Arabidopsis thaliana: one gene and its partner. The protein of the gene in region 1 purifies or fractionates together with the protein of each later gene. This does not show direct contact. Each region holds a gene or a part of one and is shown on either strand. Other genes may lie near its edges.

What was found. The genes of interacting proteins can lie anywhere in the genome.
Region 2: the proteins of TOPP3 (region 1) and SAD1 fractionate together in Arabidopsis thaliana (co-fractionation; one large-scale study listed by BioGRID). This does not show direct contact.

The regions. Positions count from the first base shown.
Region 1 is NC_003070.9:23,755,755-23,764,594, reverse strand, and holds TOPP3 (type one serine/threonine protein phosphatase 3), read left to right. Parts: upstream 1-3,931; 5' UTR 3,932-4,320; coding exon 4,321-4,498; intron 4,499-4,946; coding exon 4,947-5,506; intron 5,507-5,642; coding exon 5,643-5,855; intron 5,856-5,951; coding exon 5,952-5,969; 3' UTR 5,970-6,354; downstream 6,355-8,840. Other genes in the region: AT1G64050 (uncharacterized protein), read right to left, coding at 1-88, 219-559, 1,030-1,155, 1,332-1,640, 1,822-2,011.
Region 2 is NC_003076.8:19,811,815-19,817,162, forward strand, and holds SAD1 (Small nuclear ribonucleoprotein family protein), read left to right. Parts: upstream 1-1,531; 5' UTR 1,532-1,592; coding exon 1,593-1,626; intron 1,627-1,742; coding exon 1,743-1,866; intron 1,867-2,292; coding exon 2,293-2,365; intron 2,366-2,512; coding exon 2,513-2,548; 3' UTR 2,549-2,740; downstream 2,741-5,348. Other genes in the region: AT5G48860 (uncharacterized protein), read right to left, coding at 1-97, 785-1,051; KAT5 (peroxisomal 3-keto-acyl-CoA thiolase 2), read right to left, coding at 2,762-2,853, 2,938-3,021, 3,104-3,212, 3,296-3,419, 3,487-3,583, 3,664-3,796, 3,875-3,952, 4,021-4,128 and 6 more. UniProt on the Arabidopsis thaliana protein: Component of LSM protein complexes, which are involved in RNA processing. Component of the cytoplasmic LSM1-LSM7 complex which is involved in mRNA degradation by promoting decapping and leading to accurate 5'-3' mRNA decay.

The DNA.
Region 1 (8,840 bases):
GAAGGCCTAATCTTTTCAATACATCGCCAGCGTCGCATAATGGAAAACTAAGTGGAGTGGAAGGAATTTCAGAGTTGATGCAATGATCCTGAGAAGTCAATGAGTGTATCAATTTTCAGTTAAAGCAACAAACCTATTTAAAGTCATGTATACTTGCTTACAGGTCAAATCAGAATATATATATATGAAACTTCTAAATGTTAGATTAAGAAATCTACCTTGGACGATGACGATAGATCTCCATCCAGGGCATTTACTTTATCGATGTTTTCACTATTTGGTAGTGTAGCAGAGATAGAGCTAGGCGGTGAACCCAGAGTTCTGCTGAGACAAGTGTCTAATTCAGTAGAGCTTTGTGATTGAACAGGCCTCTTTGTTGGTAGAATGGACCAAACATTTTTGACTACACTCAATAAAGTGTTGTTAGTATTCTCCGATTTCTTCATCTTGTCTTTGCCCAAAGAAGGACACTCATAAGAGCCTTCAAGAAGACTTTTCAATGAAAAATCTTCAACGAGTTTGGTAACATCATTTATTGCAGGCTTCAGGCCATAGGCACCTGCATGTAAGGTAAGGAAAATTAAGAGGTAAACACAACACTAGAAAAAGATCAGACCATTTCACGTGAGGAGAATATACTGACGAGACCTTGTCATGTCAACAAGGTCGCATTTTAATGAGATAGTAGTGAAATGCACTGGTGCTATAACTCTTACATTGTCCCTTTGGTACCTTAGCGATGCAAAGAATATGTCAGCCAATGAAACCTTTTCAATGTGATGTCAGGGAGGATTCAAAATAAACTAAAAATCATAACAAGTGACCGAGGGGACCTCTAAAGCTACCTCAGAACAGATTTCACTTGTAAATCACTTCAAAGTTCAGACGAAGCAATCTATAGAACTGAAAGTATAAAAGAAAATATAATAACTAGCCAAAGTAAATCGACCAGGTTGAGGAGTCAACTGTTGAATTAGAGTACACTATTGGATACCACAGGACAAGGCTAATTCAGAAGCAATCACATACCGAAAAATGCATTCTCGCCAGTCGCTGAATTGATGGTTGATAAAGTTCTCACCGGAACTTTGGAAATCCTCTTATCACCTCGCTTGCCGTTATAACTGCTCCGTTGCTTCACCACAAACGGTTTATCTGTTTAGCATTCAACAGAAGGTAATAAGTAACCTCACAAGGCAAAATGATACACAGGCACTTTTTCAGAGTGTGAAACATTAAACTTTCACCAACATATTACATATTCTTTTAAAATATATGCTACTGACTAAATGAATGCATAATTTCAGACAAAGAAATCACATGAGAGTTACCTAAGCAACTAGTAGATCCTTGTCCACATATCTCCTTGGTGTCGTTATCTCTCTGTGTCCTCACCGTTTCATCTAAAAGGATCAATTTCGTCCTTCTCGGAGTGCCATTACCACTACTACTTCTAGAAAGTTTTCCTCTTTTCCTAGGAGACTCCGCACTTTCTGGACTAGCAATCGGTGAATAACCATTTTGAGGCTCAGATGAATTGTCAACCCGAAGTTTAGTAAGCCTATCATGTACAAAGTCATGTGAATGCATTAACTTGCGCCATAACGATGAATCAGACGCTCCACTGCTACTTCCTGCTCCTAAATCAAGAACAAGACTAAATCAAAACCCATCCAACCAAACTTGAAAAAGTTTGCAAATTTACCAAGAACAAAAACACAAATTTGGATCTACAACTATAAACTGTACTCAGTGTAAAGAAGAATAATTTCAAAATCCCCAAATGAAATTTGAAGTCAAAGTGAAGAGAAATTAGCTAACCTTTCTTGTTGATTGAAGCACTACTACAACGCTCAATTGAAGAATTAACACCAATCGAGACACGAGCCTTGTCACAGTTGTTATCTGCTTTATTCGACGAAACCCTAACTCCACCACCACACCCTTCAGATCCCATAAGCTTAGCCGGCAACGAAACATCCACAGGACAAGAAATCTTCAAACCATCCATCACAAACCCAAATCGAAAACATCGCAGCCGTGTAAGCTGCGATACGAACTCATCATCTCCTTTTAAACCAAAACCCAGATAGTTCGATCGAGCTTTAGAGAAAGCTAAATCTTAGAAATTTCTGGAGAATAGTGAGCTACAAGAGTGAGATTGATTTGGTTTTTTTTTCCTCGATGAAGAAACGCAATGGTGCGGCTGCGTGAATCGAGGGATTTTAATCTAGGGCAAGAAAATGAAAGAGGAGAAAAAAAAGATGAGTATTTATAGTTTTCGGGAAATTAACTTTGGCCTTGTTTTAGATAAGCCGTCGACGGTGAGATTGTTCCGGTGAGCTCGTCTGTACTGGTAACTCTGACGTGGCTACTACATTATTGCGAAACGGAGTGATTTAGAACCGTTGGATGTTGACTGATGACGGGGTTTTTATGATCTTGTTGGTTAATAGAGTGACACGTATTCAAGTGAAGATTTCACTTGGTTCATGTGGTTTGATATGAGTTTCCAAATATGCCACTGGTGGATTCTCAGGTGTTTGCTTGGAGCGGAGGGTGTTTTTGATTTTGACGAAATTATCCCTTATCTGAATGTTAACGCCGTTAGATTGTGTTGGTTCCGTTAACAGATTTTTGATTTAACTATTTCGGTTCAAGGTCTTCTTGAACAAGTCAATGAAGTTACATTGACAAAAAAGAATAAAACATGAACTTTACAATATTGAAGGGATTGCTTTTGTATTTAAAGTTAGTTTTTACAGGTAGTGATTGTTTGGATATGTGCTCTATTTCTTTTGTTTATTTGTGTTCGTTTTTGTTGAGATTATGGTTGTGTAAGCGTGGTTTAGTATTTGTTTAAAACTATTGAGGCAATCTAATGTTGGGTCCTCTTGGAAGATCATCTTTGTAATCTTTCTCAATACATCAAACTGTTTTGTCAAAGAGTTTTCGGCTATGTTGCTTTTGAATGTGGTATTTATATATTCCGTGTGCTTTAAGGTTCTTCTTTCTTTATATCCGCTTTTTAATTTTTGGTTTTAGAGTTTTTATGTATCCGCCAGTTTTATTTTTAGAAAAAAATTTTTTTTTATTAAATATAACTATACATATCATAGATAAATCATTTAGACGAGAAAAATTAAAAAGACGTTAATTTTATGTACCCGTCAATTTTATTTTTGGAAAAAACAAATTTTCTTATTAAATATAACTATACCTATCATGGATGAATCATTTAGACGAGAAAAATTAAAAAGACGTTTAATTTTAAAAGCATAATTAGTTTCAGATCATTTTAAATTATGGAAATTTAATAGTAAAGTTTCTTAAAAATAATATGTATTACTCAAAATAATAAATTTTCTAAAAACTTTCTTTATCTAAAAAACATGTCTTACCAACAGTTGATCCTAAACCAAAACAATTATGAATCTAAACACTTAGAAGTTTTTTTGTTAACAAAATGGAATAAAATAACAATAATCCAGTTTTGTCTTAAACGTATAAAGCCTTATTGTTTTATATTGGATTAGCAATTGGGCCTGAAAGAAGAAAAACAATCATATGGGCCAATAGGACTTGGATCTATATTGCTTCAACTTATTACAATATTCATGCATGTGTGGAATTTGGCTATGTCATGTGGATGGATAAGCGTTGGCAGAGTCTTCGTTACGTTTTCATAAATTATCTAAACAACTTAATTACACAATATTCTCAGGTATTGGCAAGAAGAAAAAAAGAAGAAGAAGAGAAAAATCATAATATAAATATACTTCTGGACACGTTGAAGAGACATATTTGATGACTAGTCTAAGCAAGATTCCACAAAAATGAAGCATCGATTTTGATCAAATTATTCGGACTTCAAAATATGAAAATAGTATAGAAATATTTTCTTTATGTAATATTCAAGCCGCATTTTGACAAAAATAATTAATAAAAAAAATGTAAGAGTATCCCCATCTTTAGTTTTTAAAATAATAGAAAAAATAAATTTGGTCAAAAGACAAAGCCGTCCCTTCCGGTTCACACGAGCCGCACGTGTGCTTTCCTTTTTTCTCCTTCCCCGTTCTCTAGCCGATTCTCTCTGTCTAGGGCTCCTCCGTCTTCTTCTTCTCATACCTTCACATACCACAAAACCTCTCTTCTCTCTCTATTGATTCTCTACGAAGAGGAAAGTGATTTTGAACCATCTTGATCGGAAACGGCGTTTCGAAACTGGAGGTCGAAGACGAAAAAAACTCTTATCTCATCGCTCCGGTGTACCGAATTCGAGAGGTTTTTGTTAGGTTTCGTAGTGATTGATTGATTTTGATGGAAGATAGTGTGGTGGATGATGTTATAAAGAGGTTACTAGGAGCGAAAAACGGGAAGACGACGAAGCAGGTTCAGTTGACGGAGGCTGAGATTAAACATCTTTGTTCTACCGCTAAGCAGATCTTTCTCACTCAACCTAATCTTCTTGAACTCGAGGCTCCTATTAAGATTTGTGGTATTCATTCATCAATTTTGTTCTCTCCTCTTCAAATTTTCTTTTCTACGAGGATTTGCGTAGATTATGTTTGATTATCCATAGAACTAGAGATTGATTAGCTAACCAGAGTTGTTTAAATTTAGATAAATTCGTATGAATGATATTTGTAGAATTGCATATGAATCTGTTGTTTACTTGATCAGTTATCATTAGTGAGATACTAAAAGAAGTTAGAAATGATCATTTGTCTCCATATCAGAGATTCAGAGCTGATAGTGTATTGTTCTGTGCATCTTGTGTATCATTTTGATGTATAATGGTATCAGAAAGTTGCTAATGTGTTTACTAATACATAAGTTTGTTCTGCTTCATTTTATAGCAACCAGTAGTAGCATATGCTTGTGTGGCTTGTGTTTCTAGTGAAATAGCACTTCTATAATGGGGGTTGGTTTCATGTTTTTAATAGGAGATACTCATGGTCAGTTCTCAGATCTTTTGAGATTGTTCGAGTATGGTGGCTACCCACCAGCTGCAAACTATTTGTTTCTTGGGGATTATGTAGATCGTGGAAAGCAGAGTGTAGAGACCATATGCCTTCTTCTTGCCTACAAGATCAAATACAAAGAGAATTTCTTTCTTCTACGTGGGAACCATGAGTGTGCTTCTATAAACCGTATATACGGATTCTATGACGAGTGCAAGAAGAGATATAGCGTTCGAGTGTGGAAGATATTTACTGACTGCTTTAATTGTCTACCTGTTGCTGCTCTTATTGATGAAAAGATCCTCTGTATGCATGGTGGGCTATCGCCTGAGTTGAAGCACTTGGATGAGATCAGGAACATTCCTCGTCCTGCTGACATTCCTGATCATGGACTACTGTGTGATCTGTTGTGGTCTGATCCTGACAAAGACATTGAAGGATGGGGAGAGAATGACAGGGGTGTCTCGTACACTTTTGGGGCTGATAAAGTCGAGGAGTTTCTTCAAACGCATGACCTTGACTTAATTTGTAGAGCTCATCAGGTAATATTTTGCTTTAGACATGTATCTGTGGTACGTCTCTTTTGTTTACTTGTCATCATAGGACCTACAAATAATGGACGAATACTTATGATTTATCTCTTTTAACCTCATTGAAGTTGATTGTTTTGCCCTTTAGGTTGTGGAAGACGGGTATGAATTCTTTGCAAATAGACAGCTAGTAACGATATTCTCGGCCCCAAACTACTGCGGAGAGTTTGATAACGCAGGAGCAATGATGAGTGTGGATGATTCCTTGACGTGCTCATTTCAGATCCTTAAAGCATCTGAGAAGAAAGGAAACTTCGGGTTTGGCAAAAATGCAGGAAGGCGAGGAACCCCGCCTCGCAAGGTGAGAATCTTTAAAGCATCGAATGATACAGTTACATACTGAGTTCTATTAGGGCAGGCCTTCTTAGTCATCTCATTGTTTTGTTTTCTCTTTTAGGGTGGTGGAAAAGGCTGAAGACAAATCCCATAAACTCTGTTTTGTGTATTCCATGTTTCTTGGTTCAAGACACTTGCTTGATCAGCTGAACTTATCAAACTGTCTTCTTCTTCTTCTTCCTCTGCTCTGGATCACTTTGGCAAGGGGTACTTCTGTCTTTTCCCTTGACTACTCTGGATCACTTGGTGTCTTTGACCTCTGTGAATCTGAGATATTATTCTCTGTGAGATACACTTTATGTCGTTTTTTGTTAAAACATTTAAATGAAAATCATAATGTTCCTCGTCACTTGGAAAAAAACGGCACGGTGTTTCGTTTGGAAACTTAACAATGAATGATAGGTTAATGATTCACAAAACTGATGTAGTGGCTGTTCCATTTGAGTTTTACTTCTTCTTCACGCTTACAAGCTTAGACGACTTATGATTTCCTACTACATACTTGTTTTGCCATTGATTCTTAAGAAACAGAGAACTCTAAGCTAGGTCAGTTTCTACAAGATCCATTGATACTTGTTTAGACTCTCGTAATATCCCCTGCATTAAAAACCCAAGTTCTCTATATAGACTATACACACACACACATGTCAGAAGAAATAAACGGAAAAGTTAAAAAGATGATAGCTCGACGATTCGCAATAGTACGTTACTTTCGTTCAAGGATGAATCCAAAGATGACTATACAAAAACTTTGCACATCGTCTAAAACAGCAGATCTTTCTCTCCGAAAGATGGATCCGAACCGAAGAACGCAAAAATTCAGCAAACCACAAGTCATTGCAAGTCCCTCTCTGCGAGAAGCAATGAAGAAGCGAAACGACGATTTGGTCCTTACGGGTAAAGTAATAGCTTCAGAAGCTAGCTAACTTCATCTTCTCTCCGGCATCAATCAACTCCGCCAACACAATGATGGGGTCTCATCAAAGACCTTCTTCCTCCTGAATGGCTGAATCCGTAAACAGTGAAACAATTGAGGTTTATGGAAACGCATTGTATTTCAAAGGAGCTTGGGCTGAACCATTCGATAAGTGGTATACAGAAAAGAAAGAGTTCCACCTACTCGATGGTGCGTCAGTGTTTGTGACATTTGTGAGAAGCAAATGGGACCAATAAGTTGGGGGTTACAATGGTTCCAAGGTCCTCAGGCTTCCATACCGACAAAGCGATGATGATATCAATCGTGAATACTCAAAATGTATTTCTATCTGCCCGACAAGAAATATGGATTGGATATGAGATAGAATTTGGATATAAGTAAAGAATTAACAACAACAAAATCTATAAATATTAAAATATTCTTAAATTAAGAGATGCTATATCAGAAACTAATATTATATTTTAGTTAAAATCTATTTAAATTTTAAAGTAAACTATATATTGGATACAATATAAGGTGGTGCTAAAGTCAATATTAATTAATTTTAAGTTTTTACCAAAAACATAACACATAATCATTGTAATATCTATTATGAATATTGAATAATCATACTCTAGAAACTTCACTTAAATTTTATTTATAATTAAATAACAAAATTCCTATATATAAAAGATAAGATATTTAAATTAAAATTTCATTATAAAGCCTGAAGGATCCTAATCATGATTATCATAAAAGTGTATATATGATTAAAAAAGTTTAGTTCTCCTAACAGATATCAGATTATTATATGGTATGTATATACTTTTTTTTTTCCCCTAATTCGAAGATGCACCAAGTTCTATCTTAATTAGATACTAGGCATCTTATATTTTATATATATATTTGTGTGCTCAGAACAAAAATTAAAAGGAAGAACCAAAAACTTAGCACATCAGAAATCGCAGAGCCCTTCTCTAGCACTCAACACGAAGAAAAAGCAAAAGATGGATTCTTTGCAAGAACTTCTTGACAAGAAGCAATACGACGAAGAAGCAAAACGTCCATGTCAAGAAGCGATGAAGAAGCAAAACGACGTTGCTCTTTTCCTTGCGGGGGAAGTAATCTCTGCCGCAGACAAAAACTCTAACGTCGTCTTCTCTCCTGCATCTATCAACTCCGTTCTCACCATGGCCGCTGCTACCTCCGACAGTGAAGCACTAAAATCTTGCATCCTCTCCTTCCTTAGGTCTTCTTCCACCGACGAGCTCAACGACATCTTCCGCGAAATAGCTTCCGTCGTCCTCGTCGACGGAAGCAAAACAGGTGGCCCCAAAATCACGGTGGTTAATGGAGTGTGGAGAGAGCAATCACTTCCGTGTAGTCCCGAGTCGAAAGATCTCTTTGAGAATTTCTACAAGTCTGCTTTCGCTCAAGTTGATTTCCGATCCAAGGTCAGTTTCTGATTTCGAATTTGCTTTGATTAAATTAGGGCAAGAGATTGTGTGAAACGAGTGCTTAGAGAAACTACATATCGTATTCAATGTTTTGGTTTGTTGTTTTGAAGTTTGAAGAAGTGCGTGAGGAGGTGAATTCTTGGGCATTACGTCACACCAATGGTATCATCAAAGATCTTCTACCTCCTGGATCCGTTACAAGCGAAACCTTGTGGATTTATGGAAACGCATTGTACTTCAAAGGAGCCTGGGAAGACAAATTCTATAAGTCAATGACGAAACACAAACCTTTCTACCTTGTCAATGGCAAACAAGTACATGTGCCATTCATGCAAAGCTCACAAAGTCAATATGTTAAGGCTTACGATGGTTTCAAGGTCCTTAGACAACCATACCGACAAGGCGTTAATGATACAAGTCGCCAATTCTCAATGTGTACCTATCTCCCGGACGAGAAAGATGGATTGGATAATCTTGTGGAGAAAATGACATCTACTGATGGATTCTTGGACAGTCACATTCCGAGTTGGAGAGTTGAAGTTGGTGAATTCAGAATTCCAAAGTTTAAGATTGAATT
Region 2 (5,348 bases), on another chromosome or scaffold:
CTTCCATACCTTCTTGCAAGGATCTTTGATAAGTTCCTATCCTCATTAACATGTGTTGCACCTTGTTTTTCGATCCTCTAAGCTTCCAAGTATATGACTACAACAACGAGATTGAATATCTAATGATACAAATGGTATCTTAACTATATACTTTCTTTTCAATTCTTCTGGTAATGTGTATTTAACAATTAATTTTGCTAATCTTGGATGTAGCTTTGCACATGGATTGCTACAGATTAGAGCTGTCACAGCGGGCTGTCCATGTCCATTAGCCCAGTCCAATAATGTCCATTTCGATATTGGACAAATAGTGTTCATGTCCACTAAGGCACATGTCCATTAACGCCCGTGCCCATTAATGTCCATGTCCAAATGGGTTGTCCAATAGGCATAACAAAACCAAATTTTAACACAATAGTATTTGCTTCAGCAAGATGCTTGAATGTTTCTTTGTAAATAATCGCTCTAGAGAGCATTAGATGTGTAGAATTCCATTTTGTGCTTACTACCAATTCTTTTTTCTGTTTAAGTAACTCATATTAGTGAGCTAAGCTTTTGATATTTGCAGTTTCATGAATACACGGTGTCAAAGGACCAAGCTTCATAGTTCATACTATGCATAATGCAGACAATGAACACTATATCAAACAATAGTAACAGAAATCGAAAGAGACCCATGTCAAAATCACTCTCAATAAGCAAAAAACAGTAACAAAAAATCATTTCGAATTGAGTAATCAAAAACCCAGATCGAATTGAGTAAAAATGACGAGAATTTGCTTACTTGAACTGGATTAGGAATCTCAGGAGGATCCATGATGTGATGGAGTTGAGATGTTGAAGGAACTCGCCGGAGAAATCGCCGGAAAGAAGAAATCGCCAAATAAGCGTCGGGGAAATGTTTTTTCCCCAAATTTATTTTTGCCCGAACACTTAAACCTAATATTTTTTGACCATTGGGCCGCCCATGTCCATCACGTCCAGTCCGCTGATGCCCATGTCCGTTAACGCCCATGTCCATTAATGCCTGCTTCATAATGGGCTTGTCCATGCCCGGTCCATTAGGCGTTGGACACGGGCCACTCGTCCATTTTGATAACTCTACTACAGATCAATCGTTCAAAGAAATAATAAAATCTCAGTAGACCTATGTTTGGAAGAAACAAGAAAATTTCATAGATCCGTATAATGGATCCATGATTCAAGATTAGCATAATTAAATTCGAAAGTAAATTGACCTTATAACTAAAGTAAAGTGAATTAGGTGGTTACAGTTTTTTCCAATGACATTGTAACATAATATCTTACAAAAGCCAATATTACTATTTGAAAGGTACTTCCGTACTAGTAATGTAGGGATTTGAGACGTGATTATTTATCCTTAATATTCTAATTAGATTGAAGGTTTATATATTAAGTTTTCCATAGTTAAAAGTCAATCTTGAAACAAAAAGATAGTTTGAGGGTTCTCTTGTAAATTTCCTAAAAGTAAAACATTAATACCCTAAAAATCGAAAAATCAGAAAAAGCTTCGGAGCAAGAAAAATCAGAGAAAATTCAAAAACCCTTCACTTGCCTCACTGTTCTTCGTCATGGCGAACAATCCTTCACAGCTTCTTCCTTCAGGTATGCAATTTTTTCTTCACATCTCTCACTTTCCACCTTCTTATATGTAAGAAAATCGAACTAGATCTGCGATTTTTTGGTTTTCAATTTTTGAGCGATTTGGTTTGTTTGTGCAGAGCTAATCGATAGGTGTATAGGGTCTAAGATTTGGGTGATAATGAAAGGAGATAAGGAGCTCGTTGGTATTCTCAAAGGATTCGATGTTTATGTCAACATGGTTCTTGAAGATGTCACCGAATAGTAAGTCTGATTTTAGGGTTTCGATTATTGCTTCATATCTTGTTTAATTGGAATGTTGCTTGATCTATTACACTTTAGGAGGTGAATCATAGACATTGAACCATGGATGTGATTATGCAGAACTTAGCCTTTTGGATTTTGTTTTTGGGTAATTGATCTCAATACTGATTTGTGAATGTCCATCACAGTTCATTCATTTGCTGATTAATGACATTTATTGTGTATGCATAGAGTCTATTTCAGCGGGGTCATATGTGGTTTCGGTGACTTGAGTTGTTTGTGGTTGTGTGAGGATTAGTTAATTGATGCTTAAACCCGTGTTGCTTTGGAGTTAGGATCTCATAGATTCAAGTTTTGATTGTAACAAATTCTTGATTGAATTGTAACTAGAGTGTGTTACTAATTTATCTAAGCATCGTTGTGTAGTGAGATTACGGCAGAAGGAAGACGGGTCACAAAGCTTGATCAGATTCTACTCAATGGCAACAACATCGCCATTGTAAGTAAAAAAACACTTGTGGTTACTCATAGCCATACGTTGTATAAACTTCCTTGTGATGAATTTTCAAGTATCTTGATATAAACAGTTGGTCATTTGAATAGTCAAATTGCTAAGAAACTGGTGTTGAAAATGTTTGTGATGCAGCTGGTGCCAGGTGGGTCTCCCGAAGATGGAGAATGAGATTTGCGAGATTTGATTGGTGTTTTCAGACTTGTGTGAGGAAGGATGTAACTTTTGGTTTTAGATTTAACACTTTGTTCAGAGAAAAGTAGTTGATTTTAAACTCAGAATGACAAAAGTTTTCATTGTTCAGCAATGTGAAAGAGCTAAAGCATCATATTTATTAGACTCAATGCATCATTACTTCTACTTATTCAAGCTCTCTTCGATGTTCTAATGACTATCCCCGTTAGCCACACGAGCGTTGGACAAGTTATCAACAGAGTCTCCCCTCTCAAAAACAGCTGCAGCTCCCATTCCAGTGCCTGTGACGTTCGCATTTTACATATACCATTAACATAGGTAATCATTGATCCAATTCAATCTGAAAAAAAATCTTATATATATACCTATGCACATTGAGATTACTCCAAAGCGGCAATCTTTTCCTCTCCGCTTCATCTCGTGCAACAATGTCGCAACACATCGAGCTCCTGAACATATAGAAAAGAACTCTATTAGCCTGTAACAAATGTTGCATTTTATTTAGTTACGACAAGCTTGGTAAGTAGTAACCTGTAGCACCCAGGGGATGGCCAATAGCAATGGCTCCTCCATTAACATTGACCTTTTCCATATCCAGCTCTAACTTCTTGCAAGAGTACACATACTGAGATGCAAATGCCTGTTTAACAATGCAACAATAAAGATTTATATGTATGTATTATTCCGAAACAGGAAAAAAACCAATGTGAAATATTTTGTTACCTCATTGATCTCGAATAGATCAATATCGCTGACGTTGAGCCCTGCGAGCTTAGTTGCAGCGGGAATGGCAACAGCTGGACCAATACCCATTACAGATGGTTCCACACCAGTAACAGCAAAACTCCTGCATTGTTCCGGAATCAGATTTGCTCGGTTTCTTGAACTGGCAAAATGTTGTATATTCATTTTACCTGAATACTCCAAGAATGGGAAGTCCCTTCTTCATAGCCAAACTTCTCTTCATTAGCAGTACTGCTCCAGCACCATCACTGATCTGACTAGCATTGCCTACACAAAACACATATACTTAAATGCTTCAATCTATGATCTCACTTATGCCAGTGATAGTTAAGAGAGTTGTTTCTAACCAGCTGTGGTGGAACCGTTCTGTTTAAAGACAGTCTTCAGCTTTGCCAAATCTGCCATGTTTGAGTTTGGACGTACACCGTCATCAACAGATACGACGATTGCCTTCTCTGCTTTAGTCTCAGGGTCCACAATCTGTCAAGAACAATATCATTTACTGAGAAAGCTCTACCAAAAGGGCTTTAAAGGAAGTTTGGGAGGTTCTTGTTTTACCTTAGTAGCAACAGGAATGATTTCATCCTTGAGTTTACCAGACGCGATTGCAGCTGCAGCGCGTTTGTGAGACTCCACCTGATTATTACTGAATCAGTACTTATATGAACTAGAGAGGAAAAAAGTGAAGAGAATAACTAACTAACCGCAGCCATATCTTGCTCTTCTCTTGTGACACCGAACCTTTCTGCAACGTTTTCAGAAGTAATTCCCATTGGAAGCAAACAATCACGGGCTTTTGGGAAATCCTGTGCCTATTCCCATGTAGAGTTTACAAGATCATCACAAAACTCTTCTTGTTGAGTAAATTTATACACTCATTGTGATAGCTTACTCTTGGATTAGAGCCATGAAAGCCGCCTCCAGGAATATGATCAGTTGACATTGATTCCACTCCAGCACCAATACCTATGCAATTCACAAAGTTGAGAGAATCAATCCCATGGCCTATACAAGCAGCTAGAGACTACAAAAAACTGATGCAGCAGCATCTTACCAATGTCGTAATAACCAGCTCTAATGGAAGCAGCAACATCAGCAACTGCTTGTAGTCCTGATGAGCATTGTCTATTGACAGTTCTAACTGGCACGGAGTCTAGCTCGTAAAAGAGAAGGATGAAGAAACATATCAACAACTTGTGAGATATTAAGTTTATCTTGATTCTTGAATGAGATTTAGTACCAGGAAAACCAGCAAAATAAGCTGCAACTCTACACTCCATTGCTCTCTGAGAACCAGGCGCTATCACGGTACCAACAACGATATCACCAACTTCACTTGGATCCAAAGATGTTCTTTCCACTACAGCCTAATCAGAACAAACCATGAAACATAAGAAATCATTGATACTACTACTCCATGCATGCACAAGGTTTAATTGATGACTTACCTTAAGAACAGAAGCAAGAAGATCATCAGGAAGAGTGTCTTTGAAACCTCCACGTCTCGCTTTGCAAATGGCGGTACGATATGCCCTGAAGAAGAAGAAGAATCAAGAAACAAAGAAAACTAAAGAAAGTGAAAGTGAAGCAAACTCAATGAGTATACTTACGCTACAATCACAATGTCATCTCCAAAAGCAGCCATTGGGGAAACTTCAGAAACACAATTCACAGGCTAAAATTAACAAAAACACAAGTGAGTCACATAATAAAACAGAGTTAAAGATCATCAGCTTCCACAAACAATTTCAATGTCTAATTAAGACTCACGGATTAAGACAACTAAACTTACAGACAGAAGAGAAGGTTCATGTTTAAGAGAAGAATTAGAAGAAGAAACTGGATTGAGATGACGAAGCAATATCTTTTGTCTTTCCATAGCTCTCTCCATGATTCTCTCTGTTGCAAACACTTGTGTTGCAGCTGAATTCTAATGGTGATTGAAAGACAAAAACTTTCCGGGGAAACTGAAATGGGTTTGGTTGATTTTTCTGGAAAGGGGAAGACGTTAAGTACAATGAGCTTCAGGGTC